Struthio camelus: one gene and its partner. The protein of the gene in region 1 interacts with the protein of each later gene in a pairwise test. Links are inferred from orthologs where the notes say so. Each region holds a gene or a part of one and is shown in the gene's direction. Other genes may lie near its edges.

Evidence for each region.
Region 2: the proteins of SDCBP2 (region 1) and EIF1AD interact in a two-hybrid assay, tested with the Homo sapiens proteins (3 studies listed by BioGRID and IntAct). The two-hybrid records come from large-scale screens. The link is inferred for Struthio camelus from reciprocal best matches to the Homo sapiens genes SDCBP2 and EIF1AD.

Annotation. Positions count from the first base shown.
Region 1 is NC_090959.1:18,227,146-18,235,027, forward strand, and holds the start of SDCBP2 (syntenin-2), read left to right. Parts: upstream 1-4,871; 5' UTR 4,872-4,916; intron 4,917-5,383; exon of another isoform or gene 5,384-5,726; intron 5,727-7,882. Other genes in the region: peptidyl-prolyl cis-trans isomerase FKBP1A, read left to right, coding at 1,832-1,944, 2,728-2,856.
Region 2 is NC_090976.1:755,799-763,154, reverse strand, and holds the start of EIF1AD (probable RNA-binding protein EIF1AD), read left to right. Parts: upstream 1-4,355; 5' UTR 4,356-4,495; exon of another isoform or gene 4,496-4,502; intron 4,503-4,508; exon of another isoform or gene 4,509-4,618; 5' UTR 4,619-4,627; coding exon 4,628-4,714; intron 4,715-7,100; coding exon 7,101-7,209; intron 7,210-7,356. Other genes in the region: BANF1 (barrier-to-autointegration factor), read right to left, coding at 179-325, 2,143-2,268.

The DNA of each region.
Region 1 (7,882 bases):
TCAGTTTGTGGCCCAGACGTTCTGGCTGCTGTTACAACGCAAGCCTGGACTGAGAGGTAATGTCCTATCGTGTGTGCAGATGGTGCCTTCTCTTGCGCCCGTGGGCAGTGACTCACACTGTGCCCTGGTTAAGGGAAATCACTTTGGCCCATGTACTGCTGAACGAGGCAATGTCTTTGTTTTTCAAGACTAGAGCGGTTTCCATCCAGGAAAGCAGGTTCTTGGGTTTCTTTGGGAAGCAGAGAAGTGAGAAGCATTTGCAGTAGAGTTGATCATTGCTCCCATGAATTTCAAACCATTCAGTGCTGTTAATGAGCCACTGCCTGTCTGGTGCCACAAGCGCTGGCTCTTTCTTTTTACGGTCATAGTTGTTGCAAAAGAGAGATGCGTCTGTGTTCCTCTATCTAGGCAGGAAGACGGGGCACTTGTGATAGCAGATGGATCCTGTAACCCTAGAAGTCAGTTTGCAGGCTCCTTCATAATACTTGTGCTGGGTTAGCAAAGGCAGTGCCCTCTAAGCATCTTGCGCATACTGCAATTGGAGTCTCTGTGGCTTGGGGTCACAGGTCCTCGGCTCAGGTTCCCATACCTTAATGCCTCGAATGGTGCCTGTGCGTGTGCCTGCCCCGTCCTTGAGCCTGGGAAGCCGCGCACTGGTGGTGCTAATGCCCCAGATGCAAAGCGTGCTTCCGCTAGGCTCTTCCCCAGGCTGCTCACGTGCACCTTGGATAGGCTCAGTTCCTAGCGTGGCTGTTACTTGTCCCATAGCCAAGTTCTCCTTGTGGAGTTGCTGCTCCTATAAGGCAGCTCTCTGGCTCTGAGATTCCCCAAGAAGGTCACGCAGGGAGCAAGGGAGGGACTATGGAGAGGGGAGGAAATTCCTCCTTTGCTTGTGTTGGGGAGTTATATTTAGCTTTGCGGATATCAGCCTTGTTCAGTGCTACTTATGAGACATGTGCCGTGGAATGAGGACTGCCTTGGGCATGTGTGTGTGTCCAGCAATTGGCACTGCCTCTCTCAGTAATTCCAGGGTACGAGTGTGATTTGGTTTGTGACCAGTGGGGCCATGGCTGAGCACGGGAAGGGCTGGAAGCTGGAGGCAGAGCCCAGGCTGCGGGCAGGCAGTGCCTCACTGCCCTGCAGTAGTAGCCCTGACTTTTTTTTTTTTTTTTTTTAACCTTGTGTATGTGTGAGGATGAAAACCCGGAAACCTGCCTGTAGCTCATTTCCTGCCTGGCAGGCAGTGAGCAACGCATGTTTCCGAGCGGGAGGCGGTGTTTCCTGGTGCTCGCAGCCTGGCGGGTGGGATGGGATCGTTCTTGAGAAGCACCAGACCTGAACCTGCTACTGGGAACACTGCAGGCTCTGTGCGAATGACTCATGTTGGAGAACTGAGATGGGGAAGGAGTCCCGTGTCCATCTGCTGCCCTTTGTCCTACACTAGCTGGGGACTTTTCTTTGGGTCAGAATGGCAAGGAGGAATAATCCTGCCCTGTCTAAGAGCTGTTCCTCTCTGTGTGGAGAGGCCCCTGCCCTGGTCTCTGCAGCTCCTCCCCTGGTGATGTGCCCTGGGAGATGCTGGTGGGGTGGGGTTTCTCCCACTGGTCCAGCCCGTGCAGGTGTTTCCCCAGGAGGGAGCAATCTGCATCTGAGAAGTCTGACTCACAGCCGTGTGAGCTCTCCTGGAGGGTGACTGTCACGCGTTTAGATGGTTTCAGTTGCCAGGTCACAGCCTGTTTCCCGTGGGTGTTGGGCTTGGCCTGGGGCTGGCTGAGTGGCTCTGTGCGTGTGTGTTACGAATCGCATCCCTACCTCCCCTTTCTCTCCTCAGGTATGCTGGAGGATGGGAAGAAGTTTGATTCTTCTCGCGACAGGAACAAGCCGTTCAAGTTTGTGATGGGCAAGCAGGAGGTGATCCGCGGCTGGGAGGAAGGAGTTGCCCAGGTGCCTGGTGCTTCTGTGTGTCTCTGTCTCCCTTGCAGGGGCTGCTCAGAGCCGTGTGGCTCAGGATCTGCAGCGTGGGCAGAAATCACAATGTGCGCAGCTCTTTCTCTTTTTTACTGTGTATTTTCCACCCCTCCGCCCCCTCTGTGATTGGAGGTGTGGGTGAGAATATCACCTTCTGCATTGCCACCTGCCAGATGGCAGGAATGGAGCAGGTCCGGGCCCCAGGAACACCTACAGCCTGTCGGTGACTCAGCGATGACATTTCTATACTGAGTCAGCGCTGAATGAACGCCACGGGGAGTGCTCAGAGCCTCCCGCTCTGAGAAAAGATGGCTCCTGGGGCTGCAAGCCCACGCAGAGGAAGGGCTGGTTTGCATGGCGTGGGTTCAGTCCCAGCATGCGTGACTGCAGTCAACTGCATGCACTATCGGAAACGCGAGGCTTGTTCCGTGCAGTGCCCACATTGTAGCACAAGGAGGCCAGTGTCTTTAGGGAATGGCCTGGCTGTCCCTTCCTGTCCTACAAAAACACTTGTGTGAAGGACATCTGTAGCCCTGCTCCCTCTGCTGAAGGCCTGCTCCTTTTCCAGCCAGTGCTGCCTCCCTCTCCTGATGTTCTTCCCATTCTTCTTCTATCCCCTTGTCCCTTTGTGCAGCCCAGGTCCTTGCTCTTACCCAGTGTAGGGAACAGAGGGGGACGGATCTGTGTCCCTCCTGCTGTCTCTCACCTGGTGTCCAGGTGCATCTCCTGACATCCCTGTGTTTCTTTCCCTGCTCCCAGATGAGCGTTGGTCAGAGGGCGAAGATGACCATCTCCCCAGATTACGCCTATGGCTCTACTGGCCACCCAGGGATCATCCCACCAAATGCCACTCTAATTTTTGACGTGGAGCTCATGAAATTGGAATGACCTACCCCAACCCCCTGTCCTTGGGTAAGGAGGGAGAAGCAGCTGGTGGTGCTGGGGGAGGACTTTTTAAGGCCCTTCTCTTTGGCCTCAGGCCAGCGTGGGGAGGGGGGATGGAGCTGACAGTTGTTGGGGGGCAGGAGAGGGATGGGGCAGGTGTCTAGCCGCAGGTAGAAGGACTGTTGCTCTCAGGACGCTGATGATTTGGGGAACACTGTGGCGATAGAAGCAGAGTGCCCTGCCTGGCAGAGCATGCCAGGACATTCCTCAGGATCACAGAACAGTTGAGGTTGGCAGGGACCTCAGGTGTCCTGCACTGTGTCCTTCCACAGCAGGGCCTGGCTGCCCAATCCCTCTCATGATGGCCCTGGTGCCTCTCTTGCCTTGCTGAAGGCTCGTTCCCCCTCCATAATTGGGGCTTGAGTTCTGCTTTTGAGGGCACCATGCGGTTTCTAATGAAACTGTCTCATGAACACGCTTCCTCCTCGGCCGTGGCTTTCTCCTGAAAGCTGCTGGGTTCTCTGCCAGCGGCTTTGTTACGGTGCCTCTCTTCTCTCCCAAACAGGTTTGGCACATGGAGGAATCCAGAATCTCAGCTTCAAGAAGAATGCACATGACTTTGTACGGAGCTTTTCCTGATATTCCACTACACTCATTGTATAACCTTACACCTTGATTGAATGCCTTTGGTCACTAAGCTTTGCGTCTGACTCTTCCTCCTTGTATCGTGTTTTTATGTCTTTTTAAACTATACGCCGTAAACCTCAACTCTTTTTGGGTCAAGTTCTTAATCTTATTTTTGTTCCAGGTGTAGACTACGTTTTACCAGTAGTACGCAGATGGCCTGACCTTAGATAGGAGTCGTTTGAACAAAAGGAAACCTGTTAGTTAATTGTTTTGGTGCCGACCTCTATGGTGTACTAAAACCAGAAATTGCTGCTGCTGCAAAAGCCATAGCAGAGTGAGGCTGTCGAGGCTGAATGGATGCGGAGAGCAAAGTAGCACTAGGACTCTGTGTTAGTTACCTGCCTGGAACCGGGGCAATGAGGAAGCAGTTGGTCCTTTCCCTGCTTTCTGGGGAAAGGACAGCATCACTGCATGCAGTGTTTTTACTCCTGGGAAGCTGGGGCTGCTGTACCCCTCCTTCCTCTCCCAACTGTTGACTTTTTCCATCTCATGGTGGACCTTCTGCCCACCTGCTTTTGGATTTGTGGAGATCATTTTCTCTTTAGCCATCAGAGCTCCACAACTACTTAGAAATTCAGGAAATCGCATTGAGCTTTCTTTAAAAAAGAAAACAAAAGGCAAAAGGAAGGTGCTGTCTACAGGGGAGGTGGCAGGGCTGGTGGGGAGTCAGCTGAGAAGAAAACGCCCCCCTTCTACTCTCTCCCCCCTTGAAAGGAAACATCAGACCCCAGTTGTCCCTGGTCTGAACATACCTGACCATTCTCTCCTGACACCTGATGCTGGTCATCGCTGCTTGTCTGGTCTCATACGATGCATAGCTTCCCCCTGCTGCTGTCCTATCTGCCCCCCTCCCTCCCTCCGCCCTGCGTAGTGATTTGGTAAGAGAAATTGCCGCCGTTCACTTCCTTCTCCACTGCATAAAGGTATCAAGTTTTATTATTGCAATAAAAATGCTTTATGCTGGCTTTTCTCAATTCTGTGTGTTGGAGATTTTTCCCTCGCCTGTCTGCCACTTAGTGCTGCTGGCTAACGGCGCGCTGCGGGTGCCCTCCCGGGAGGCAGCCCTGGCCCGGGCTGCCGGCGCTGTTTCGTGGCCGGAGGACGCTGTGGAGGTGAGGAAGGGCTGGTGTTTCACTGTGCTGGCTCGCTTTGCGGTGAAGCTCTTGAGCTCGGCCCTTCAGGCACAGAGGGACGGCTCTGGCTCTGGCTCGCTAGGCGCTTTGGAAAGGCGGTGACGGTGGCCTGCCAGAGTTCGCGTAATTGTCTTACCATAAAACTCTTAAGTGCTGCCTTCCAGGCAGTCGGTCAGCGTTACGGGTGCGCGTTCCTCCTGGCCTGGGCACGGCAGCGAGAGGCTGGCTGCGCGCGGAGGGCAGGTACCTGCTCTCGCAGGGACGGCGCCTGCGCTCGCAAACAGCCCAAGGCCTGGCTGAGCCTCTCCTTCCCGCGGACCGTGGCGGGCAGGGTGGGAAACGCTCGGCGCAGCAGGCACGGGCCCAACTAGTTCTCTGCTCCTTGGCATGATTTTGACTTCTGTTATTGTTGCATGTAGTAGCTGGCTGGGATTTTTTTTATGTATATGTTTGTCCAGTGGTTAGAGGAGAACTTTAGAGGCTGGCCGTTGCTACTGTGCAGCATTGCTCTTCCAGCAGCTGCTATTCACAGGTCAGATCAGCCTGGACCTTAAAAGGCTCTCTGGGGTGTTTTGGTACCTGTCTGGGTGCAGGTGCTTCCTTAGATTTGCAGGGCCTTTTCTCTTTTGCAATGCTTGCTAGAGGGCGGTTGCTGAGTCTGTGGCTTTGGGCTTTTGTGCTGTTGCATGTTCGCTGGTGGCGGCTGGGGAATGTTTTGTGGCTCGTGGTGCAGCTGCTTCACGGTCATCGCCGCTCTAAGCGTCTGTGTCAGGGTTAGGGGAGTGCAGTTTGGTGCTCGGGACGGTTAGCGCTGTGGCAGCCTTCCCGCACGCAGGGAATGGGTTGCATGCTTTGTGTTAAAGGTTCCAGTTCCTGAACGCAGATACTTGGATGCTTTAGTGTAATTCTGCTGCGGCCCCAAGGAAGTGGGGTCGGCAGCCCCAGCAGCAACAGCTCTATGCCCGGTGTCCGGCTCCGCTAATGGCCCTCTGGAAATAGCCTGTGCTTTAGTTTCCCTAATCGATAACGTCCTGGACCCTAAGGGAGGCCGTGGTGAGTCCAAGCGCTTGAGCCTCAGCGGGTTTGTTGGGAGCAAAGTTTGCACTTAAAGGAGGCTGAAAAATGAGCTGTTTGGACTAGCCCTCTGGTGGGTTTGGGAACTTGGGTTTTTAGAAGTGATATGAGAAGACTTAAAGGCTTCTGCAGCTTGGACTGCCACCGTCTGGGCTCCCGGGGCTGGGCCCTCCTTTAGCGCTCACATGGGGTGGTAGATGCATGCAGCTTTCGGTGCTCCCGGCTCGCTGCGCTGGAGTTACGCGGATGTTCCCGGGTGTCCCGGCCCCGTGGCGCGGGCGCTACCCGCCGCTCTGCCCAGGAGCGGGGCTGCCCTCTGAGCCCGCTAAAATGTGCAAGTATTAGCCCTCCCCTTAGCTGCTGCACGTTCGGTTTGAGGTCTGCCTCCCGCCGGGTGCTGCCGCTGCTGGGGCTCGGCAGGCTCCACCGTGGACGTGGACGGCGTCAGCCGGAGCGCGCGGCGCCCGCCGGGCCTTTGTGCCGGGCTATCGTTGCTGCGGCTGGGACAGGAGGGCGGCGCGGGGCCGATGGCGCGTCCCCGCTGCTCTCTGCCGCGGTCCCCCCGGGGTGCCCACCCCTGCTCGCTGGCGCGGGGAGAAGGAGCTGGGGCCGGCCGGCCGCGGGTGCTCTGGCTCCCGCCGTTCGCCGCAGCCACCCGCGACGCGCCGAAACTTGAGGCCAGCATGGGTTTTTCTTCCTTCTTCCCTAAAGCCTTTCGCTTTAATTATTAACCGGTGCCAGGCCGAGCGGTGCGGTGGCTTTCTGTGCTGGCCGTAAGCCAGGGCCCGGCCGGAGGCAGGTGGGTCGGCAGGAGCGGGCAGCCCTGCTCCGCAGCTCCCGTCCCCTCCTCGCTGAGCTTCGTTCCGGTGCCGTTTGCCGGCAGGGCTCCGCGGCCCTGATCTCGGAGGGGCGGCAGCGCCCTGGGCCTCCGGCGTCGGGGACGTGGACCCCGGGCCCGGCGGGGAAAGGGCTTCCCAGTGCCCAGCTTCGCTGCGGGACCCATGGCTCCAGGCTGGTGGAGCAGGGCTGGTACCGGGCCAGCGTAGGGGGGCTGAGCTCCCCCGGCCGGGCTGAGCCCTCGCTCCCGTGCGCTGGGCAGCACGACCGGATCTAAACGTGTCCAGGGCAGCAGGAAGAGCCCACGCTCCCTCCTGGCTTACCTGGAGGCAGGATGAGCTCCTGTCCTGCAGGGAGCTGAGGACGTGCTCAGCACCGGGGCCGAGCACCCTCCTGCGGGCCCTCTGCATCCCGTCCTGGGGCTGCGGCGACGGGATGCAGCTGGCAGGCGAGCACGTGCACGTGTGCATGCAGCGAGTGCAACGTGCGTGTGCATGCGTGTGCCCGCCTGTGCAGCAGTGTGTTTTGTGCGGGACGGCTGTGGGTGCAGGCGAAGGCCTCCTGGCCCGGGAACCCTCCTTCGGGGTGAGGCCGATGGAGGATGTTTTCCCACGGCCGCCGCCGCCGCAGCCCCTCTCCTCCCCAGCGCTTGCTCTGTGCCCTGTTTATCAGCTGCCGGGCTGGTCTGGCCTCGGGTCGGCCGGGCAGCAGGGCACCGGCGGGCTAAAAATAACATGAGTAAATAAACTGCTTCCTCCTGGCCTGGCACGCTGAGCAGCGGCGCTGGCGCTGGGCGGGTGCCGGTGAGCCCGAGGGCCGGGACGTGCCCGGCCCCGTGCCAGCGGCTCATGCAAACCCTGCACTGGCGCCGCAGGCTCGGGACCCGGCTCGGTGCCCACGGGGCCTGGCGGGCAGCGGGACCGGGCTCGCGCCAGCGCCGGCGTTGCTCAGTTTTTCCACTGCGGCGTGGGACCGGCCTCACCGGCCCTCGCAGGGACACGGTGTCCCGGCCGCGTCAGCCCCACGCGCCCGGGCAGTGGGTGCTGGAAACGAGGCGTCAGCCAGCACCCGCCGCCCACGCGGGGCTGCCGGCACCCGGGCATCGCCCTGCCGTGGTGGAGGAGCTGGGTCACGGAGCCGCGGCGGCCCCCAGCTGGCCCGGGGCGCTGGGCAGGGGGACGCCTTGGGGCTGGGGTGGGCCTCCGGCCGGGGACATCGCAGTGGGACGGGGGCTGCGGCGGGTGCTGGGGACCTTCATGGAGCAGTGGGGCCCCCGGGGTGCCTGGTCCAATGGAAAG
Region 2 (7,356 bases), on another chromosome or scaffold:
ATAACGTTTTGGGGCATCCCGTCTGCTCCGGAGAGGGACAGCGAGACTCCCAGAGTGGCTTTCGGGGAGATCTGCGGGCACCTGGGAGGAGGTTCGGGGGCCCCGGGGGGGAGGTTTGGGGGGGAGCCCCGGGGTGGGGGGGGCAGCAGGGGGGAGGTTTCGGGGGGCTTGGGGGGGCTCAGAGGAAGGCGTCGCACCACTCGCGCAGGCAGCCCGAGCAGTCGCGCGACTGCTTGGCGTTGGCGCCGCACGTGTCCTTGAGCCACTCGCGGAAAAGCTCCTCGTCCTTCTTGAGCACCAGGAACTGGCCCAGCACCACGTAGGCCTGGCGGGGGGGGGACAGGCGTCACGGGCGGGGGGCACCCTGCCTCTTGGGGACACCCTGGGGACACCCCCTGGGGACACCCCGGCGTGCTAGGGACACCTTGACACCCCTTGGGGACACCCCGACACCCCCTGGGGACACCCCGACACCTCCTGGGGACACCCCGACATGCTAGGGACACTTTGACACCCCCTGGGGACACCCCGACACCCCCTGGGGACACCCCGGCATGCTAGGGACACCTTGACACCCCCTGGGGACACCCTGACACCCCCTGGGGACACCCTGGGGACACCCTGACACCCCTGGGGACACCCCGACACCCCCTGGGGACACCCCGGCATGCTAGGGACACTTAAACACCCCCTGGGGACACCCCGACACCCCCTGGGGACACCCCGGCATGCTAGGGACACTTCGACACCCCCTGGGGACACCCTGGGGACACCCCGGCACGCTAGGAACACTTTGACACCCCCTGGGGACACCCCAACACGCTAGGGACACCCCGACACCCCCTGGGGACACCGCCTGGGGACACCCTGACATGCTAGGGACACCTCAACACCCCCTGGGGACACCCTGACACGCTAGGGACACCCCGACACCCCCTGGGAACACCCCGACGCCCCCCCCAGGGACACCCTGACACCCCAAAGACATCTTGGGGACACCCTGACAGCCCCCAGGGACACCCTGGGGACCCTCTGACGCTCAGGACACCCCTCCGCGCCTCGCGCGTCCCCAATAGCAGCCAACGTCCCCCACTGGTGTCCCCAACCTCACCCCCCCCCACGTCTCTGCAATGTCCCCGATGTCCTCGCAGTGGCCCCGAGGGTGACCCCAGGGTGGCCCTGCGGTGTCCCCACCTCTGCGTCCCCACAGTGGCCCCAAGGGCGTCCCCGTGGTGTCCCCAGGGTGGCCCCGCGGTGTCCCCACCTTGTTGAAGTCCTTCTCCTCCAACTTCTTGCCCAGCACGTCCCCGATGCCGGCCAGCGTCCCCAGCGGTGTCCCCAACCCCACAGCCGCCCCCCACGGTCCCCGTGGTGTCCCCAGGGTGTCCCCGCGGTGTCCCCAGGGTGTCCCCACCTTGTCGAAGCCCTTCTCCTCCAGCTTCTTGCCCAGCACGTCCCCGATGCCGGCCAGCGTCCCCAGCGGTGTCCCCAACCCCACAGCCACCCCCCACGGTCCCCGTGGTGTCCCCAGGGTGTCCCCGCGGTGTCCCCACCTTGTCGAAGCCCTTCTCCTCCAGCTTCTTGCCCAGCACGTCCCCGATGCCGGCCAGCGTCCCCAGCGGTGTCCCCAACCCCACAGCCGCCCCCCACGGTCCCCGTGGTGTCCCCAGGGTGTCCCCGCGGTGTCCCCAGGGCGTCCCCGCGGTGTCCCCACCTTGTCGAAGCCCTTCTCCTCCAGCTTCTTGCCCAGCACGTCCCCGATGCCGGCCAGCGTCCCCAGCGGTGTCCCCAACCCCACAGCCACCCCCCACGGTCCCCGTGGTGTCCCCAGGGTGTCCCCGCGGTGTCCCCACCTTGTCGAAGCCCTTCTCCTCCAGCTTCTTGCCCAGCACGTCCCCGATGCCGGCCAGCGTCCCCAGCGGTGTCCCCAACCCCACAGCCGCCCCCCACGGTCCCCGTGGTGTCCCCAGGGTGTCCCCGCGGTGTCCCCACCTTGTCGAAGCCCTTCTCCTCCAGCTTCTTGCCCAGCACGTCCCCGATGCCGGCCAGCGTCCCCAGCGGTGTCCCCAACCCCACAGCCACCCCCCACGGTCCCCGTGGTGTCCCCAGGGTGTCCCCGCGGTGTCCCCAGGGTGTCCCCACCTTGTCGAAGCCCTTCTCCTCCAGCTTCTTGCCCAGCACGTCCCCGATGCCGGCCAGCGTCCCCACCGGCTTCTCGCCCATGGGCTCCGCCACGAAGTCCCGGTGCTTCTGCGACGTCGAGGACATCTCGGCTCGCCCTGCCGGCGGGGGGGGGGACACAGACGGTGCCACCGCGTTGGGGACGGGGGGGGGGGGATGGGACGGCCCCCAGGAGCGACGGGGACAGACCGCGGGGGGGGGGGGGTGACGCGGGGACGCGGATGGTGACAGGGACCGGGCAGCTCGGGGGGGGGGGGGGGGACAATGTGGGGACAGCGGCAGCCCCGGGGGGGGGGACAAAGGTGCCCCCGGGGCTGGAGGAGGCAGCGTTGTCCCCTCTCCCCCCCCCCCACCCCGTGCAGGGGCCCAGGCGATCCTGACCCTCCCCCCCCCCAGCAGGGGCCCAGGCGATCCCGCCCCTCCCCCGGCTATAAATACCCCAGCGCAGCTGCAGCAGGGGCCCCGGGGGGGGGGCACAAACAGCCCCCCCCGAGACTCCCTGGGAGCCCCCCGAAACCCATGGGACCCCCCCAAGAGCCCCCTCAAGCCCCAGAGACCCCCCAAAGACCCCCAGAGCCCCCCCGGACCCATAGACACCCCAAAAACTGCCCTACAACCCCTCCAGCCCCACAGACCGCCCCCAAGAAGTCCCCCACAGCCCCATAGGCTTCCGCAATCACCATAGACCCCCACAGACCCCCCCAAAGACCCCCGAGAACCCCCTCCAGCCTCATAGACCCCCCCAAGAACCCCCCAGAGCCCCCTCAACCCCATAGATCCCCCTAAGGACCCCCCAGAGCCCCTTCCAGCCCCATTGACCCCCTAAAGACACCCCAGAGCCCCCTCAGCCCCACAGACCCCCCTAAGCACCGCCCAGAGCCTCCTCTAGCCCCATTGACCCCCCCCAAAAGACCACTCAGAGATTCCTCAGCCCCATAGACCCCCTCAAGGACCCTCCAGAGCCCCCTATAGCCCCACACCCCCCCAAGGACCCTCCAGAGCCCCCTACAGCCCCCCAGACCTCCCTAGGCACCCCCCAGAGCCCCCCAAAGCCCCATAGACCCCCCTAAGGACCCTCCAGAGCCCCCTCCAGCCCCATAGACCCCCCTAAGCACCCCCAGAGCCCCCTCAACCCCATAGAACCCCCCTAAGCACCCCCAGAGCCCCCTCAACCCCATAGACCCCCCCAAGAATCCCCCAGAGCCCCCTCAACCCCATAGAACCCCCCTAAGCACCCCCCAGGTCCCCCTCCAGCCCCATAGATCCCCCTAAGGACCCTCCAGAGCCCCCTCCAGCCCCATAGACCCCCCTAAGCACCCCCAGAGCCCCCTCAGCCCCATAGAACCCCCTAAGCACCCCCCAGGTCCCCCTCCAGCCCCATAGATCCCCCTAAGGACCCTCCAGAGCCCCCTCCAGCCCCATAGACCCCCCTAAGCACCCCCAGAGCCCCCTCAACCCCATAGAACCCCCTAAGCACCCCCCAGGTCCCCCTCCAGCCCCATAGATCCCCCTAAGGACCCTCCAGAGCCTCCTCCAGCCCCATAGACCCTCCCTAAGCACCCCCCAGAACCCCCCAAAGCCCCATAGACCCCCTAAGAACACCCCAGAGCCCCCTCAACCCCCATAGACCACCCCAAGGACCTCCCAGAGCTCTCTCAGCCCCATAGATCCCCCCAAGGACCCCTCAGAGCTCCCTCAGCCCCATTAGACCCCCCTAAGGACCCCCCAGAGCCCCCTACAGCCCCATAGACCCCCCCTAAGGACCCCCAGAGCCCCCTCAACCCCATAGACCCCCCCCAAAGACCCCCTAAGCTCCCTCAGCCCCATAGACCCCTCCAAGGACCCTCCAGAGCCCCCTACAGCCCCAGAGCCCTCCCCAGCTCCCCACACGCACCTCCCAAGCCCTAAAGACCCCCCCCAGGGAGCCTCCGGACCCCCCCCCGCCCTCACCGGCGCCGCCCGCCGCTGTCAACCGCCGCTCCCGCCCAACTGGCCGCTGCGCGCGCCTGCGCGCTGCCGTCACTTCCGGCCACGCCGGAAGTGCACCCGCCGCCGGCGACCGCTCTAGGCGCGCCCGGAAGCGACCATAGAGAGGCGGCGGCTGCCTAGCAACGCGGTCGCCGCGGGCGCTCTAGGGCGACGGCGCCGCGACTCTGTGGTGCGCGGCGCCGCTCTAGCCCGCGGGAGGTTCCCGCGGCGAGACGCAGCGGCCTGTCAGAAACCACCATAGAGAGGAGGACCGGGGGGGAGGAGCCGGTGTCTCCGGAAGTGACGCCAGAGGGCGGTGCACCCGGAAGTGGCGGACTCCCATGCGGTGAGAGGTGGGAAGCGGCGGGGCGCGGCGGGAGGGGGGCAGCCCGGACGCCTGGGCCCCCCCGCCGCTACTGGGGCGGGGGAGGGGGACAGAGGAGGGACCCAGGCGTCCCGGCGGGCCCAGGCGTCCGGCATGTCGCAGGCCACCAAGCGGAAGCACGTGGCGCGGGAGGTGCTGGACGAGCGGGTGGTGCCGTCGCCGCGACAGCGCATCGTGCGGGTGAGCGGGGGGGGGGGGGACCCGGGGGGACCCGGGGGGGTGGGGACACGGGGAGGGACACGGGGATCCGGGGGGACCCGGGGGGACATAGGGGGACCCGGGGGGTGAGGACACGGGGGGGGACACGGGGACCCGGGGGGACCCGGGGGGACATAGGGAGACCCGGGGGGGTGAGGACACGGGGGGGGACACGGGGACCCGGGGGGACATAGGGGGACCCGGGGGGTGAGGACACGGGGGGACCCAGGGCGACATAGGGGGACCTGGGGGGACACAGGGGGATGAGGACACGGGGGGGGACACGGTGGGACATAGGGGGACCCGGGGGGACCCGGGGGGACACGGGGGGGGTGAGGACATGGGGGGACACGGGGGGGGGGTGAGGACATGGGGGGACACCAGGGGACCCGGGGGGGTGGGGACACCGGAGGGACACGAGGGGACCTGGGGGGGACACGGTGGGACATAGGGGGACACGGGGGGGGACGGGGGGACCCGGGGGGTGAGGACACCAGGGGACCTGGGGGGACAGGGCGGGACATGGGGGGGGGTGAGGACATGGGGACGGACAAGGCGGGACGGGGGGGGACACGGCAGGATATGGGAGGATGAGGACACGAAGGGACACGGGAGGGGACACGGGGGGACCTGGGGCCACGGCAGGACACGGGGTGAGGACATGGGGGGACCCGGGGGGGGGGGACACGAGGGGACCCAGGGACATGGGGACACGGGGAGGATGGGGACACCTGGGGGGACCTGGGGTGGGGACACCCGGGGGGGGCCAGGGGGACCTGGGGGTGTTGGGGACACAGAGGAGCACACAAGGGGACATGGCAGGACACAGGGACACGGTGGGGGGACCCGGGGGGACATGGGGGGACACGGCATGGGGGACACGCAGGAGAACACAAGGGGACACAGGGACACGGGGGGGTGGGGACACGCAGCGGGGACACACGGGAGATGGGGAGACGGGGGGGGGTCTTGAGAGGGGACATGAGGGGACCTGGGGGGGGGAATGGGGGCACCTGGGGGGGGGGACACGAGGGGACCCGGGGATATTAGGGGACTTGGGGACACAAGAGGACCCAGGGATGTGGTAGAGCAACAAAAAGGACATGGGGACACTTGGGGGGGGGCACCTGGGGGCAGGGACACCGTGGGTGGGGGTTGGGGGGGGGACACAGGGACCCAGGAGAGTCAGGGGGACCCAGGGGGGACATGGGGGGGCACAGAGAGACATGGGGACAGGGACACCTTGGGCGGGGGGACACAGGGACCCAGGAGAGTCAGGGGGACCCAGGGGGGACGTGGGGGGGCACCCCAGGGACACCTGGGGGGGGGACACAGGGACCCAGGAGAGTCAGGGGGACCCAGGGGGGACATGGGGGGGCACAGAGAGACATGGGGACAGGGACACCTTGGGCGGGGGGACACAGGGACCCAGGAGAGTCAGGGGGACCCAGGGGGGACGTGGGGGGGCACCCCAGGGACACCTGGGGGGGGGGACACAGGGACCCAGGAGAGTCAGGGGGGACCCAGGGGGGACATGGGGGGCACGGAGAGACATGGGGACAGGGACACCTTGGGGGGGGGGACACAGGGACCCAGGAGAGTCAGGGGGGACCCAGGGGGGACATGGGGGGGCACAGAGAGACATGGGGACAGGGACACCTTGGGGGGGGGGGGGACACAGGGACCCAGGAGAGTCAGGGGGACCCGGGGGGGGCATGGGGGGCACGGAGAGACATGGGGACAAGGACACCTTGGGGGGGGGACACAGGGACCCAGGAGAGTCAGGGGGACCCAGAGGGAACATGGGGGGGGCACCCCAGGGACACCTGGGGGGGGGGGACACAGGGACCCAGGAGAGTCAGGGGGGACCCGGGGGGGACATGGGGGGCACGGAGAGACATGGGGACAGGGACACCTGGGGGGGGGGACACAGGGACCCAGGAGAGTCAGGGGGACCCGGGGGGGGCACAGAGAGACATGGGGACAAGGACACCTTGGGGGGGGACACAGGGACCCAGGAGAGTCAGGGGGACCCAGAGGGAACATGGGGGGGGCACCCCAGGGACACCTGGGGGGGGGACACAGGGACCCAGGAGAGTCAGGGGGGACCCGGGGGGGACATGGGGGGCACGGAGAGACATGGGGACAGGGACACCTGGGGGGGGGAACCCAGGGACCCAGGAGGGACGGGGACACCCAGGGGGGACATGGGGACACAGGGACATTTGGTGGTGGTGGGGAAAGACCACCTGGGGACACCCAGGGACATGGAGGAGGGGGCACAGGAGGGACAAGGGGCCACCCAGGGGACACGGAGGGGGTCTGGGGGACGCTGCGGTCCCCGACGTGTCCCCCCCCCCCTCCCCAGGTGCTGGGGACGCCGGGGAACAACCTGCACGAGGTGGAGACGGCCGAGGGCGCCCGCTTCCTCGTCAGCATGCCGCCCAAGTTCCGCCGCCACATCTGGATCAAGAGAGGTCCCCAACGCGTCCCCGACGCGTCCCCAACGCGTCCCCTCGCAGCCACCCGGCCCCCTACGCGCTCCCCGGCCCGGTCCCTTCGCGCCCGCGCAGCTCAACGCGGCCCTTCGCGCCCGCGCGCCTCCGCCGCTGCGTCCCCGCCGT